Notamacropus eugenii: one gene and its partner. The protein of the gene in region 2 purifies or fractionates together with the protein of the main gene of each other region. This does not show direct contact. Links are inferred from orthologs where the notes say so. Each region holds a gene or a part of one and is shown on either strand. Other genes may lie near its edges.

The links.
Region 1: the proteins of SS18 (region 2) and BICRA purify together in Homo sapiens (affinity purification with mass spectrometry; 3 studies listed by BioGRID and IntAct, counting the BioPlex papers as one, with this or other methods). This does not show direct contact. The link is inferred for Notamacropus eugenii from reciprocal best matches to the Homo sapiens genes SS18 and BICRA.

What each region holds. Positions count from the first base shown.
Region 1 is NC_092876.1:29,526,287-29,534,454, reverse strand, and holds the start of BICRA (BRD4-interacting chromatin-remodeling complex-associated protein), read right to left. Parts: upstream 3,143-8,168; 5' UTR 3,013-3,142; intron 1-3,012. UniProt on the Homo sapiens protein: Component of SWI/SNF chromatin remodeling subcomplex GBAF that carries out key enzymatic activities, changing chromatin structure by altering DNA-histone contacts within a nucleosome in an ATP-dependent manner.
Region 2 is NC_092875.1:250,753,544-250,761,219, reverse strand, and holds the start of SS18 (protein SSXT), read left to right. Parts: upstream 1-4,644; 5' UTR 4,645-4,659; coding exon 4,660-5,042; intron 5,043-5,170; exon of another isoform or gene 5,171-5,365; intron 5,366-7,676. UniProt on the Homo sapiens protein: Appears to function synergistically with RBM14 as a transcriptional coactivator. Isoform 1 and isoform 2 function in nuclear receptor coactivation. Isoform 1 and isoform 2 function in general transcriptional coactivation.

The DNA of each region.
Region 1 (8,168 bases), on a different chromosome or scaffold from region 2:
GGACTCCAACCGCAAGACTTTGGAAAATCACTTTGCTTCTCCAGATTTTAACTTCCTCTTCTGTAAACTGAGGTGCAAAGGGGCAAGGTTTGGACTGACTGGTTTCCTTCCAAGGTCCCTACCAGCTCTGGGTATGATCCCAGTAAAAAAGTCCCTTCAATGCTGCCCAAGTCCCATGTATCTGTCACTTCAGGTGGTCCAGCCAGGGATGGAGAGGGGGCATCTGAGTCCAAACCCAGGGTCCTGCTCACACCAGACCAAACTGTCAGGCACAGTGCCACACATTCTCAGCTCCACAGAGACATCTCTCACTTGAATCCTCCCAAAGTCCAGGTATCTGTCTTTTTACTTGAGGGGTCAGACAGGGGAAGGTAGGACCTGTATCTATCTGTAAGATCAATGCTTACTCGTATATACTATTGGGGGGTACTGCAAGGTGCTAAGTGGGGAGTTCTCCTTATCCCACCCTAGAAACTGAGGGAGGACAAGACACTCCTCATATCCTCCAGGCTTCCAAGAGAGCACCTGCCTGGTCACAGGAAGAACTGGAGATCACAGGAAGAACTGGCAGTCACAGGTGCAGAGGCTCAACCAACCTTTGCCCCTCCCCACCCAGCCCACAGAATCACCCAGGACCTCATCGGTGGAAGGCAGAATCTGATCCAACCCCTTCATGCTATAGAGATGGGACATTGGCCTAGAGAGGGGAACAGACTTGGCCACAGTAGCACAGTCAGGTAACAGGAAAGGGAGCGTTTGAACTTGGGTCTCTCATAGTCCAGAGATCTTTCTATACCAACTGCCATCTCCTTCTGATGCCTCTGCATCCCCACGAAGATTGATTATAAACATTAACTGCCCCAGTCACTGAGGGAGGGATTGGTTAAACTCATTCTCAACAGGGCTGACAACTCAGACAACTTTCAATTTTGTCCTTCCGTGGGCCACCTCCATTTTAATAAATGATAAAACAGCTCCCCCAGACTCCAGCAAAGGGAATGAAATGTTTCAGGCTAAATTGGGGGCATAAGAAAACCAGGCAGGAGAGGAATGGGGAGAGAGGGAAGGGGTCCCCTCGTGCCTATGGCCAGTCTCAGTGGAGGAACTGTCCTCAACTGGTGGCATCCAGCATTACCCATGGACTACAGGACCCAGAGAGTGGGCCTCTCCCACTCGGGAAGCAGAGAAAGTGAGGGTATAAATTCAGAGCTGAGGGGAGGGTTTGGGAAGACGCAGGAAAGTCACAGGTGTCCTGAGCCTTGGCTGAGAAATCCCCTGGAGTCAAAAAAAAAAAAAAAAAAGCTCCAGCCACCAAGAGGGTAATGACAAAACCACTAACCACTACCCCCAAACTAGCCGGTGAAGTTCTGTGGCTAAAGGCATAATAAATCACCCGGCTAGGGGGGCTGGGGCTGGGCAAGCCCGGAGGTCTGGCCTCTGGATACATGGGGGGAGACTCACAGACACCTGTCCTCCTCCTCCACTCCAGGGGAGTGCTCTTGTCCCAGCCAGCAGAATAAGCTTGCCAAGCCTGGGAGACCCACCCCAGCTTCCGACCCCCCAACTGACGAGGGACTGGAGCTGTGGAAACCACAAAGAAGAAAAACAAAGACCTAAGCAGGGCTACAAGAGGCTGGGGCCCCAGACGAGAACCCTCTCCGCCCCCCACCCCCAGGTCAAGCCAGTCCCTCGGTGCAGTGCCCCCAGGCCAGTAGCAGCAGGGATTTCTCAGCGAGTCCTTCCTTCCCCCTCCCCCAGAGTGGGGCCATTCTCCAGAGAGGCTCAGGCTCCGGCCACCACCGTCTGCTGACCCGAATTCTCCGACTCCCCTCCAGTTAAAAAAAAGGGGCTTGAGAAAGGGGTAGGGAGAGCCGGCGAGGCCCAAAAAAGGAATCCACCGACTGGCTGAGCAAGGGAAGAGGACCGAGGCGGCCAGTGCTGGCTTCCAGGCCCAGACATCAGAGAGGAGTTGTCAAACAAAGGTCACCACCAGAGGCTCGCAGATCTGGCCCCTCAAGCCCCCTGACATCTCCCCTCACTCATTTCCCGGCTCCCAGAGCCCAAGGCCGTGACAGGGTGGGCCGGGGACAAACAAAAACACTAGAAGCTGGTTCCCTCAAGTCCCCCCCTCCCCCCACTAGAAAAACCCCTCAGGGGGTGACAAAGCTGAAGCTGGGGAAGGCAGGGGGAGGGGATCCAGCCTGGCTTCCCTTCCTCTACACTAGGTCCTTAGGTCCCTCAAGATTTCTCCCTCCCCTGGCAAGCCAGATTGGAGATGGGGAGGGAAGGAGAAAGTCAACTCGCCTTATTGTTTGGGGTGGGAGGAGGAGTTTATCCATCCTTTAAGGGATCCCTCCTCATCCTTCCACCTCCCCCAAAATGTTCACTAGGGGCCCCACGTTCCACCGAGCATTCTTGGTTTGGGGGCAGGGGGAAAGGGGGAGGGGAGGAGAGCGGGAGAGAGGTGAGGACGGCTTGCCACCTCCAACCGGGAAATCACTTCCCCGGTCCGGCCATCTACCGACTCACACTCCCAGCTTCCCCGCGCCACCTCCCCCCCATTTCTTTCTCTTCCGCCCCCAAATCGGGGGTGGGGGGTGTCAAAGGGAAGATAAGGGGGGCTCCGGGGGGTGGCTTGGGAGGGCACGGAGAGGGGAGTCCCTTTTCCCGCGCCCCCCTTCTCTCTCTCCCCTCCCCCCGGGCCGCCAGCCCGCCCGCCGCCCGATGGAACGTTATGTATCATTTTTCGGAAGCTCCATTGTGTGCCCGCCGCCGGGGCCGCCGCCGCCGCAGAGGGGGGCGGGCGGGAGGGCGCTGGGTTTGGGGGGGCCCCCCTGGCTCGGGGGAGTGGGGGAGGCTGTGAAAAGGCAGCAGCGCCGCTCCCGGCGGGGGGGGGGGCGGGGGGGCTCCCCCCGGCCCCCCCCTGGCTCGGGCGCCCTGTCACAGCCCCGACTCGCAGGTAGGGAGAGTTAAGAGATTTAAAGAGAAATTGCTACATTGTAACAAACTCACCGTGATGTTTGAGCAGCCGTCGGCGCGGGGTCTCCGAGACGTCCCCGCACGGGCTGCACAGGGAGGACCCAGAGCAGGCCGAGCCGCCGGGCCGGTCAGCGCAGTGCCTGATCGCATGGCCGCCCGCCCGCCCCGGGCCGCCCCCCTCGCCGCCCCGCGGCCGCCGCCCGGGCCCCGCGCGCGCGCCGGGGACGCCCCCCGCCCGCCCGGGGAAAATTAAAGAAAATTTAAAATGCTGAGAAAAAAACCATGCATGCTGCCCGTCCTCCTCCCCCCCCTCCCCTCCCCTCCCCTCCCTCCCCGCCCCACGCCCCCGCCTCCCTCCGCCCTCGCGGGGGGCCGGGCTCCGAGCTGGCTCCGCCCCGCGCGGCCCCCGAGCCCGCCCGGCCAGCCGCGGGCACGAGGCTGCCCTCATCCCCCGCTTCCTTCCATCTCCCGCCTCCGTGCCTTTGCACGAACGGACCTCCGTGCCCGAAATGCCCTCCCTTCCCCCAGCTCCTGCCACCAGCTCAGCTTGTGTCCCCTTTCCTGCTAGTAATTGTTTAATAAATGTTTGTATCCATTTACCCTTTCTGATTCCTCTCTCACCCCAGGGACACCAACTAACAGGGAGTGCTCTCCCCTCCTGCCCACCAAATTACTTTGTATTTTCTTGGGGAGGTGCGTAAGCTCCTTGAGAGGAAAGATCGTGGGGCTTCGCTTTGACTTAAGCCTTTTTTTGTATCTCTAGCAAGCAGTTAGCACCCTGGCTCCCAATAAAGGCTAACTTACTGACTAACCGACCTGCCAGCTTTTTGACCTAGTTCGTTAAGGGTAGGGTCCCTTATTTTCGGGGGAGAGGGGGTTGAATCCCCTCAGAGCACTTTTAAGAAGTGCTTTTCTAGTTGAGAACTGGCAATCAAGTTTTGATTAAGACCCTGCAGTATGCTAAGGCGGGGATGGGGTACCTGCCACCTTGAGGCCCTGTATGTCCCTCAAATTCGGGGCTGCAGGTTGTCCCACCCCTGTGCTAAGCTCTGGATATATTAAGGGCAAAAAAAAGTAGGAAGGGAGAGGCAGTTCCTACCTTGGAGAAGCTTACATTCTAATAGATGTGAATTACTGACAAAATAAATACAAGGTATTTAGGAATAGAGAGCAAGGTCAAGGAGTGAAAGATACTTAGTCTTTCAGTCTTTTCAGTCAGCTCTGCTTCTTCATGACCCCATCTGGGGTTTTCTTGGCAGAGATACTGGACAGAGATACTGGATCAGGCAAAAAGAGTGAAAGATACATTGTGATAGATACAGTGGGGAAAGGGTTGGCTGGGGTCCAAATCCACCTCTGATTAATTACCACCTGTGTGACCTTGAAAGTTACTTCATTTTTCTGGGCCTGTTTCCCCTCCCTAAAATAAAGGTTTGGGACTAGATGTTCTCTGGGATCCCTTCTAGCTAGAGAGCTGAGATCCTAAACCACTTCCTTAAAATGCCTCTGCAAAAAAATGAGAGAGTTGGACCAGCTGGCTTTGGAGGTCCGGTATAATTATGGAGATTGCATCCTGTAAGTCTAGGTGCCCAGACTTGGAGTGCTACACACTGGAAGGGCCGTGGAACACCTCAATAGTTCCCTGAAGACCACCTCTAGCTTCAATTCACATCACTGCTCCCCTCATCTCCTCCTCTGCAGGATGGACCAATCTGGTGGCTGGGGGATCTGTCCTTGGTTTCCTCATCTGTATAAAGAGGGGTTAGCTAGGTGACCACTATGGCCCAGGACCAGGCCATGCTGTCACAAATATTCATGCCCTTGTTTCCCATGGGTTCCTAAGTCTAGAACATCCTGGCCAACCTTTAAAGCCCTACTCTGTCCATGCCTACATGTCCTCCAGAAGACCCTTGTCCCTTTTTCTGCCTGTCTTTGACATCATCCACCACAGATTCTTCTAGGTGCCCAGGTCTGCAAAGCCAGAGAGGAGTTTGGGCCAGAGAAACCCAGGACTGGAGAACTCCAGAAATAGCTGGGGGGTCAGTAAACAGAGCAATGAGGAAGTCCTGAGTTCAAATTCACTTTCAGATACTCACTACCTGTGTTACTCTGGGCAAGTCACTTAACCCTTGCCTCAATTTCCCCCACTGTAAAATAAGTATAATAATAGTGCCTACCTCCCAAGATTGTTGTGAGGATCAAATAAGATAATATTTGTAAACACTTAGCACACAGTAGGTACTTAATAAAGGCTTTATTCTCTTCCCTTACCCTTTCTGTGTCTGGGTCTCTTGCCTTATTTGTGAAAAGAAGGACTTTGTCTTCAGGGGCAGAGCTTCCTAAACTACTTTGGGTTCAGATTTGCGGTTGTTCAGCCCTGACTCTTTGGGAACCCTTTGGGAGTTTTCTTGATAGATATTTCTCCAGTTCATTTTATAGGTGAGGCAAACAGGGTGAAGTAACTCACCCAGTGTCTGAAGCCAGGTTTGAATTCAGATTTTCCTGATTCCAGGCTTGGTGTTTTATCCACTGAACTACCTGGCTGCCCTGGGTTCAGCTACTCTGATGGAATCCATGAATCCTCATCTGTGGATCCGAGGGCAGAGGAAGAAAAAACCACCTGGGCATGGAGATAGGGAGGGACATTGATTCACATTTAATACTTTAAGAGGAAAATGTCACAAGCATCAGACTTTTCTCCTAGAATCTCAATTCACATTACATAGTTTTTACTTGAGGGCTCTATGGAACACTCTGAAAAACACAAGACTTGGGGCAGTGTGATATAGATGGGGAGGAAAGGAGAGGGGAGGGAAGGTCCTGGATTTGAAACCAGAGGACCTATGTTCAAATTCTGGCTCTGATGGATACTACCTCTGGAGACTTGGGCAAATCACTTGCCCTCCCTAGGCCTCAGTTTCCTCATGTGTAAGATCAGGCCTGTGAGATCCCTTCCACTGAAGCCCCGGCTATCTCCAAGCCTCCTTCTAGCCCTGAGGGTCTTCTACCCTTTCCATTCTTGGAGGCTAGCCTCAAAAGAAGATTTTGTAATGATTCCTGCCTGCTGGGACTGTCATCTCTGAAAGGCTAAAGGATGATATGCTTTTGACTGAACATCCAGCATCCTTCCTGCTCATGAAAGGTGCTGTGCTTGTCTGACCTTTCCAGAATTCATGTCTTGGAAGGAGGCAGTTCCAAAGGGCAAATTTAGGTCCAGGGAGATGTCACAGAAAGAGCCCCTGGACTTGGGCATCAGGAAACCTGGGTTCAATCCCTGTTCTCATTTGAGAACAGGGTAAGTCCTTCTCTAGTCTCAGTTGCCTCATCTACAAAATGGGCAACCCCCACCCTGATTTTCTTACAGGATTTCTGAGAGAGCCTATGTGAAAACTTCTGGAGGACTCCATGGAAATATTTCTCTAGGGATTTTTATTATTTTTATCCTAATTATTTTTATTATCTTTTATAGTTATATGTATTATATTTTATTATCATTGTCTCCCCAACTAAATTCTAAGCTCTTTGAGGACAAGGAGGTGGGGCGAACTGTCCTCTACCTGGCACTGTCCAATGGATGGTATGTAAACTCTCTTGGCCCCACTCAGCATCACCCACACACTCAACTTTGTTCAGGGAATTATAATTATAAACCCTTTACTGTGAGGCAGGAAAAGAGGGCAGCCCCGAACCTTCCCAGCCATTCAGATCTCATCTAGCCTCAGAAACTGGTCCCCTCTGAAAGCTCTCTGCTCCCAGCATTAGCTTCAATTTCAGAGCCTATAACATAGCCTTTAGTGAATTGTTTTCATTATCACCAAGAAGCCAAAGGGCCCAAAGCTTGGACTGTATTACCGGGTCAGGAAGGGACTAAGAAAAGCCAGACAGGTTGAGGTGAATTTTGGTCACACTGAAAGCCACAGGGTCAGGTGAGGGTCTCTAGCTGCAATGCCTCCCACCTGCCAAATCTGAATCCTACAGAGCCTAAGTACCACCTCTTCCCAGAAGCCTCTGGACCTCCCCAGCTCTCCTCAATTACAGTACTCGATATGAGAACCAGCCCCCTAATTTGACACATTGTCATTTTATGTTTGCTCACCTGACAGTGCCTTGTTTGTTTGTTTTTTAATCTGGACTGTAGACTTCCTGAGGGCAGAAACCACATCGGATACCCTGTTGCCTTTGGTATGGTGCCTGGCAAAGTGCAAAGCATACAGTAGGAACTAGATAAATGTTTGGAAAGAGTTTAGTTCAACACACCTTACTATGGGGCCCCTCACACACTGATTAAATCCCAGAGTTTCAGAGACCAGCTCCTTTACACACAGCAGACAGCAAGCATAGAATCCCAGAGTTGGTAGAGACCTCACAGGACAGTTAGTCTAGTCTTTTCCTCAAAGCACGAACCTGCTTGCAACATTAGGTTGGAGGTCAAAAGTCCGTAGACCTGAGTTCAAATCCTATGTCCATACTATCTGAGTGATCTCTCGCACGTCATTTAACCTGTCTAGGTCTCAGCTTCCATCTCTGTAAAATGACTAGCTTACCTCCAGAATCCCTGGTAGCTGTAGATTTTATTGTCCCTGACCTGTGGTCTTCCAGCGTCTACTTGAAGACCTCCAAGGTTGGGAGTCTTGTTACTTCATGAAGAGGTCCATTCCACTTCTGAATAGCTCTATTTAAAAAGCTCCTCCCTAGAACCATACAGCCACCCCCACCCCTACCCTCGCCTTCTAGGGCCAACCAGAACAAACTTTCTGTGCAAAATGAAAAAGGAAGAATCTGCCTGGAGAAGAGACAGTTTTCACTGGTGGGCAGAGGAAAAGCATGGAACAGACTTAACATCTCTGGCACTCCCACTGAGAGACACCCCCCCAAAAAAATTACAGATTCTCCCCAAACTCCCCCTAAACAAAAGGCATCTTTCCACGATTCATTTGAGGTTGAGTTCAAAACAGAAAAACTCCAGGGAACAGTCTATTATTACTAGGCTCTTTTCTAAGAAGTCTTATTTATACATTAGTTTTGTATTAAATTCATTTCTGAAAGTACCATCCCCAGCAAGTCTTCTTTCAGTCCACCACATATGTATGTGTAGTATGTCTGCACGTATTCTAGACACACACAAACACCACACATACACACATACACGTATTCTAGACATTTTGATCACAGCTCAGCCAAACCATCCA
Region 2 (7,676 bases):
AACAATGCAAAGCACTTCCATAATAGCTATGTTGTACGATTAACCACATTTCCCTCTGTCCTATCCTGCCCTCCATTTATTCCATTCTCTCCCTTGACCTGCCCTCCTACAACAGTATTTGCTTCTGATTATCCCTTTTCCCAATTTGCTGTCCCGTCTATTATCTTCCCTCTCCTATCCCCCTCCCCCTTGCCTTCCTGCAGAGGAAAACAGATTTCCATATCCAATCGAGTGTTTGTTATTCCCTCCTTAAGCCAAATCCCATGAGAGGAAGGCTCAATTATTTCCTTTCATCTCCCCCCTCTTCCCCTCCATTGTAAAAGCTCTTTCTTCCCTCTTTAATGTGAGATGATTTGCTACATCCTACCTCTCCCTCACTCTTACTCATAGTATATTCAACAGCAAATTTTATTTTTTTTAGGTATTCTCCCTTCATATTCAGCTCACTCTGTGCCTTCTGTCTGTGTGTGTGTATATATATATATAATGTATATATATACATACATATACACACATATATATGCATACACACATACACCCATGTACATATACATACCTACACGTATATCATATACACATGCATGCATGGGATAAAATGTTCTAAAGTGTGAACACTAACTATGATAGACCTGTGGTCTGTAGCACCAATGTGATATTCACAGCATCTACAGCAGCCATGAATATGCTGGCGTAGTTCTGAATTGCAAAGTATAACGGACTCTCCATGTGGAAGGCAGAAGAAAAACATTTTTTCAAACACCAGAAATCCATCATAGTAACAAAGAAATCTATACACAATACTAATGCAGCAGGCAACACCATCCCCAAGCCTTCTCCCTGGTAGGCTTCCCACAAACCAGCTCCTTTAAACAAAATCACAGACAAGCTCTCCCACTCCCTCTACTTCCTGCCTGCTCTTTCCCAGCTCTGACTAGTCTGACCAACTTCCTCCCAGCTCTTCTCTACCTTTCCTGTTCCACCTGTTCAACAAGTTCCTCCCACCACATGTAACTTGGGCTTCCATATGATTTAAGCAGGTCACATGGGCGTATGAATAGATGGGAAAGATCTTTAAATTAAGAAAATAACATTAGCAATACATGGTCTCTGCAATATTCCTCCACCAGTGCAGATCACAACCCATGGGTTTCTTCTTCTTCTGTGAAATTCTTATCTTTCCATGGATTGTCCAAAGCTCTCTGAAATGCACTTGAAGCCTTCCTCTGGGTAGTTCCCTCTGTTTTTCTAAAAAATTTTATGAGCAATAAACTGAATAAAAACATTTTAGCTCTAGAAAAATCAACTTCCATTTTCAATGGATCTATGATGTTGTCGATATGGCTAATCCTTCCAGAGCCCAACTCATCCATGTTTCCCCATCTTGTGCAACAATTTATATGTCTTTCTATAAATTCGTAGAGGATTCATCTAATATCTTGGGACCTTCCTCTTAACTGGTTAAAATTAATTTCATATATTCATGTAACAGGGAACATAGGGTAGAACTTATCCCCTGGTTTCTTTTTGGTAGACCACATACTCTGGTTATTTGCTAAAATGACATGGGTTCCTGTTTGTTCTCTGTGCGTGGCTATTACTGGGGGTTGTGTCAAAGGTAATTGTTGACAGAAACATTAACCAATCTGGGTTATAGGGAGCAAGTAGAGATGCCTTCCTCCTCTTTTTTTTTTTTCCAAAGGAAATTTCCTTGTTGGAAAATTGCTAACACTTGCTTTCTTTTGAACTTCAGTAAGGTGGTACCCATTCCTTTATTCCTCACCTCCCCACTGGCAACAATGGAAACTTCTTGTTCATGATAGCAAGAGCAAGAGCCTGGAGGAGGCTGACACAGGACCTCATGTCCTTGGCTGCTGCTTCTGTTTGGTGTTTCTTTTTCTGAAGCAAGGTCACCAAACAAACACTAATCCCATGAAATGGATGTTTCCAGTCCTGTTAACTTGCTGAGTTTGAGAAGATAGGAGCTTGTTACCCAGCAGGATGTGATTTTCACAACACCTTCTTTGAGAAGAGTACCATCACCAGGATTATTATGTAACTGAAAGGATTAAAAAGCCTGGGAGTATAAATCTGAAGTGAATGTGAAATACATAATTAGTAATTCTACAGTTATCTTTACCTCTCAGAAGAGTTTAATGGCAACTATGAGTTAATTTTTTAAGTACCTATAAATGTGTGCTTATGGACCTGGCACTTAGCACAATGCCTGGTATATAGTAGGTGCTTAATAAGTATTTATTGACTCAACTATTGAGTTTTGCATTTAAAAAATATTTTGGTAGAGGAAATAGCTGACATAACTGATACCTACTCCACTGAGGACCTTGTTAATCTTTTTTAGGGGACAACTCAGGCTGTAATTAAATTTTGTAATCCATAAAAGCACCCCAGCCTTTTTATATGTATGGATCAGGTTTGGTTTGGCATGTTTGCCCTGAAAACCTTTTCTTTTTTGGTTCATTTTATTCATGCCTATAGTTCTCTTGATAATCTCAAACTATTGCTTAGGTTTAGATCTCCACAGAGGTGTATAAAAGGGTCTCCAGCTTTCGTGAAAGACCTTAAGGTAACAATGCTATCCTGGTCATATTAGAAAGAAGAAAGGAGTAGTTGCAAAGGACCAAGAATAGGTCATGCCAAATGAACCTCATTTTCTTTTTTGACAAAAATTATTTAGCTGATAGATGAGGGGAATGCTGTAGACCTGCCTTTACCTTGATTTTAACTAAGATTTAGGGTGTCTCATACTATTCTTGTGGAGATGGACAGGTGTGAACTTGATGATAATGGTTAATGTCCATGTGGCAGGTCTTCAGTTGTGTCCTCGCCAGGAATCTGTGTTTGACTCTGAGGTGCTATCTCATATTTGGCATCCTAATCTCATTTGCAGACGAAACAAAGCTGCTAGAAACAACTAACATTCGATTAGTCTGAATCTCCAGACTTTTGACCAGGGCCTACTCTATGTTGCTTCACAGAAGGAGAGCTTGTTTGGGGCACGACCTGTTTCTTTTGTCTTTTGAGCTCTGGTTCCTAGCACAGTGCACACGTCAGGCACCTAATAGATACTATGGGGTTGACTGGTAGAAAGGGATTCCCAAAGCTGCTGTTACCCAAGAACTCCTCCTTCTGGCAAGAGAACTCTCCAAGAACTTAGCACTGTTCAGAAAATGAGTCCTAGACTTTAAATTTGGGGTTGCTAGACAGGTTTATCAGAGGCTTGTGATCAGAAACCCATCGTCTTGGCTAGATTTTTAAGTGGAGTCTTAAGTACAGCCTCTCCTTTACAGGTTCTGTGGGAGGCCAGGCATGGGGGTGGGGTTTGAGGAGGAAAAACCTTTGGTTTGGAGTTAGGGGACACGGGACTCTCATTTACTAATCCTGTGCCCTTGGGCAAGTCATAATGGTTCTGAGCCTCAGTTTCCACGTCTGATTTTGTCTCGAGTTGCTCTAGATGAAGTGCTTCACAAACCCTAAGGTACTATAGACACGTGGCCTTAGGTATCATGGTTATCAATCAGCAGGGTTAACAAATATTTCTACGTGTCGGCCAACCAGCATTTAGGAAGGACGTATATACACCAAGCACGCCTGGGCACACCAGAAAGGCAAATACCGGATTCTGTAGGAACTTCATTTCTTGTGGGAGCCGACATGCTGCATACTGATGCATACAAGACCCGTACAGAGGAGATACAAGGTGACGGCGGCTCTGGCAATGTGCGTGAGCACATTGATAGAAAAGGGCATTCCGTTCACAGAAGTGATCAGCAGGTGCCAATATGTTCCCTTTTCAGACAAGGTTTTGCTGGCCCCATGTACGACGGAAGGAGCGATTTGAAATACTTAAATGGCTGCGATTTATTTATTATTTTAATGGTAAAACCCATCAAAACGTATACACTTTAAAAGCACCAACAATATAATCTCGGGGAACTTGCTGTTTGTGCAGGAAGTCCGGATTTTCCCGAGAGAAGGACGGTTTCATGCGCTCCGCCCAGCCATTTCGGAGGAGCTGTTCTGTGATTTGTAGCCAAAGACAAGCAGGTCCCACTACCCGACTTCAAACACGGAGGTCTAAACTAGGCGGGGTTCGGGTTCCCCCCCAAAATCGCGTGGGAAGGATTGCCCCATGAGGGTCACGGTGTGATGGGGCTTTCCTTCGGGTCCTCCCCCCGCGCCCGGTCCCCAAGCCCCGCGCTCCGGACGCATCTCCTAGGTCTCGCTGTCCACTGACGGGCACCAAGCCCGCTTTCCCTTCCCATTCTCTCCGCTCAGCGGATGCTCTCGGAGTTTGGAGAAACTCCCGCAGCGCGCCGCCCGCCCCCAGTGCTTTTTCCCGCCCCGCTCCGCAGAGTAACGAGCCTAGGGCACAACTTCTAAGCGGCCGTGTGTGGCTGGAGAAGTGTCATCAGCTGTCATCCACGCTGCGCGCGGCCGGCTCGGAGGATGCTCCCGCCGACCAGGGAAGGGGGCTGCGCCGCGGTGGAAGGGGCGGGTCGGCTTCGGCCTCTCGCATTTCCTGTGACAGGGGCCGCTCCGGCCTCCCCCACCCGGCTCCAAGCGGGCGGCCCGACCATTTCCTGAATCGCTGGAGCGTAGGGAGGGCAATAGCAGGACTGTACCATTAGGACGAGGTGTATGTGGGGGGAGCTCTGGAGAAGGCGGACCGCTCCGGCTATTCTCGATGATGACGCGGTCACGAAGCGCGGCCCTCTCCCCACCCAGGACCAAGCTGGTAGTAGTGGGGGGGAGGGGGGTTCTTCTACAAAGAGAATGAGAGAGGGGTCCCGGCGGGCGGCACTTTCCGGCCGTGCGCACGCCCCCACGGGCTCCCCCCCCTCTGTGTCGCCCAGTGGTTCCACCCAAGAGCCAGGCTTCTCTCCCCCAGTTTGCTGTTCACCCCAGAGCGCCCGGGACTTGCTGGATCTCGGGGAGGGCTGCGAGAAGCCGATATGTCTGTGGCGTTCGCAGCTCCGAGGCAGAGGGGCAAGGGAGAGATCACTCCCGCGGCGATTCAGAAGGTAAAGCGACGCTCCGAGGAGACGGGCTGGGGGGGGGGGCGGGCCTGACTGGGAAGCGTCTGTATGTGTGTGCGCGCGCGCGCGTGGGGGAGAAGCGGAGCCGCGGGCTGTGGCCTAGTGGGTGCTGGGGGAACACTCCTTCCCCCAGCGGACTTTCCCCCCACCGGCTCTCGCTCACTTTCCCACCCGCACAAAAGCCCCGTCAGGCGCCGCCTGATTTCTCTGGGGATGGGGCGGCGGCTGACTTGTGAGGGAGCGCTGGGAGCAGGGAGGCGGCGGGCACGCGCTCCCCTGGCTGCCGGAGGACAACTCGAGGAGGAGGGGTAGGATGTGTGGGGGTGGGGGGGGACGCGGGCAAGTCTCTCGGGAGTTCGTGGCCCTCGCGCCCCCCACATGTCGCTTCTGGAGTTACTTTTGTGACGCCCCGCCCCCTCCCTGTCGCGCAGGCTCCGTGCGCGCAAGCGCGCAGGTGGGGGCGGGGAGCGGCGGCGTGCTGGCCGCTTCCCCTCCGGGCCCTCCTTGGCGCTGGCGCCGGGGTGCCCCCGGGAGGAGTGAGGGTAGGGGGCTGGGAGGAGCTGGGGGCCCCGGGTGCTCGAGGCGTCCCCTTCTCGCCTCCGTCCTTCCCTCCTCTCCCTCTGTCCTCTGACCTTTGCCCGAGGTGGGCAGCCAGCGGTCCGGGGCTCCGCTCGTATTGTGTTTTCGCCTTGATCGCCCGGAGGGAGGGCGGCGGCGGCGGCTCCACTCTGCGGAATTGCAGTTCTGGAACTTCGAAAAACTTAATTCCTACAGGATTTTTGTTGCTCGTCAAGCATCGTGGGGGTTTTCTTCTGTTTTTACTTTTGTTGAAGTTGAAGAAAGGGCCGCTCGAGACGTCCGACCTAATAAATCCTGTTGACGCGCTGCCTTTTAGAAAAAAAACAAAACACCCCTCTCCCCACGCACATTCGTGTTCCCGTAGGTTTAAAGGCTTGCCTTAATACCTGAGCTGTGCTTCGATGATGTAATTTTAATATTTTATAACACATTAGGGAGATACCCAGGCTTTAAAGAATGTGAGTATTTAGAATGGGAAAACCCAAATGTGAATTCTGGCTTGGCAACTTAACTATCTTTATGACTTGTCAGGTCACATCCTCTTTCGGAACTTCAGGTTTCTCATGATTAAAAAAAAGGCAGAAATTGTACTAGATTTTTACAGTGATTTTTAGAACTAAATCTTACAAACCTAAATATTTAAATCTGACCTAGGTTTTAAAATTTTCAGAGCCCTGTATTTGCATTGTCTCTTGGTTCTCACAAAAATCTCGTTGGTGTAGGTCCTCTTATTGTTACTTTTATCAATGAGTAAATTGCTAGTCAATAGTAGAGGTAGTATGAACCCAGTTTTTTCTTCTTGTGAGTCCAGCACGCTAATGCTTCCTCCAAACCCCTTCTTTTGTTCCTCTTTTCCCTCTCCTACTCCTCAAGATTCCTAGGATTTTGAGTTGGGTTAGTCATAATATTTACTAAACACCCACTATGAAGTGAGCCAGACATTGTGTTACATACACAAAGATACAAGAAAAGGTAAAAAGACAGCCCTTGCTTTTAAAGAGCTCACAGTTTGATGGGGGAGAGACCATAAAAACAGCTAAGTATAAACTACAGACAGGAAATTGAAAATAATAGAGGGGAGGCACTAGAATTAAGGAATCAGGAAAAGCATTCTGTGGAAAGTGGAACTGAAAAGTAGAATTTTAAAAAGTTGATCTAGTTCAACCACCCTCACCTTACTTTAAAAAACAAGTTCACAGACTTAGAGCTTGGAAGTAACTTTAATATTCACCTCATACAACTTCTAGTTTTTAAGATGAATAAACTGAGACCCTGAGAGGTGAATCGCCTTAGCCGTTTTCTTTGTTGTTCAGTGGTGTCTGACTCTGTGACCCCATTTAAGGTTTCCTTGGCAAAGATAATGGAGTGGTTTACAAAACCATTTCCTTCTCCAGCTCATTTTACAGATGGGGAAACTGAGGCAGATAAAGTTAAATGATTTGCTCAGGGTCACAAAGCTAGTAAGTGAAGCCAGGTCTGAACTCACAAAGATGAGTCTTCCTGACTCCAGGCTGGGCACTCTATCCACTGTGCCACCCAGCTGCCCACTAGTTACACTGGTAGAAAATGGCAGAGCTGAGAGGGAATTGAGACTATGGGAAGTGTGAGTAGTTTGCCCAAGGTCATGCAGATTTTTGTATTGTGTAAATGGGGTCAGAATATTGATAAAAGCAAAAGAAAAGGTAACTTGTTCCTTGAGAAGTGATAGAAGACTGTTTCTACTGACTATAAAATTTAGGCAGGTGGGTTTAGACTCCTAGTGAAACATTTATGGTACAAATAATAAAGATAAGAGCTAGCTGTGCTTCATTCTTAGCTGGCCTTGGTGACAGAACTAGGTTGGATTCAAGGCCTTCATCTGACAATATAGCTGTATATACAACTCTGAGAAAGTCACTTAACCTCCTAGTCTCCTTCGGCAACTAAGACTATAAGTTACATATCTATACCAGGTCAAACTTCCCTCCCACACTTCAATTATAGACAATGAATATTGTTAGATTCTGGAGTGGATCATCAAGGTGTTTTCAGTCTCCATCA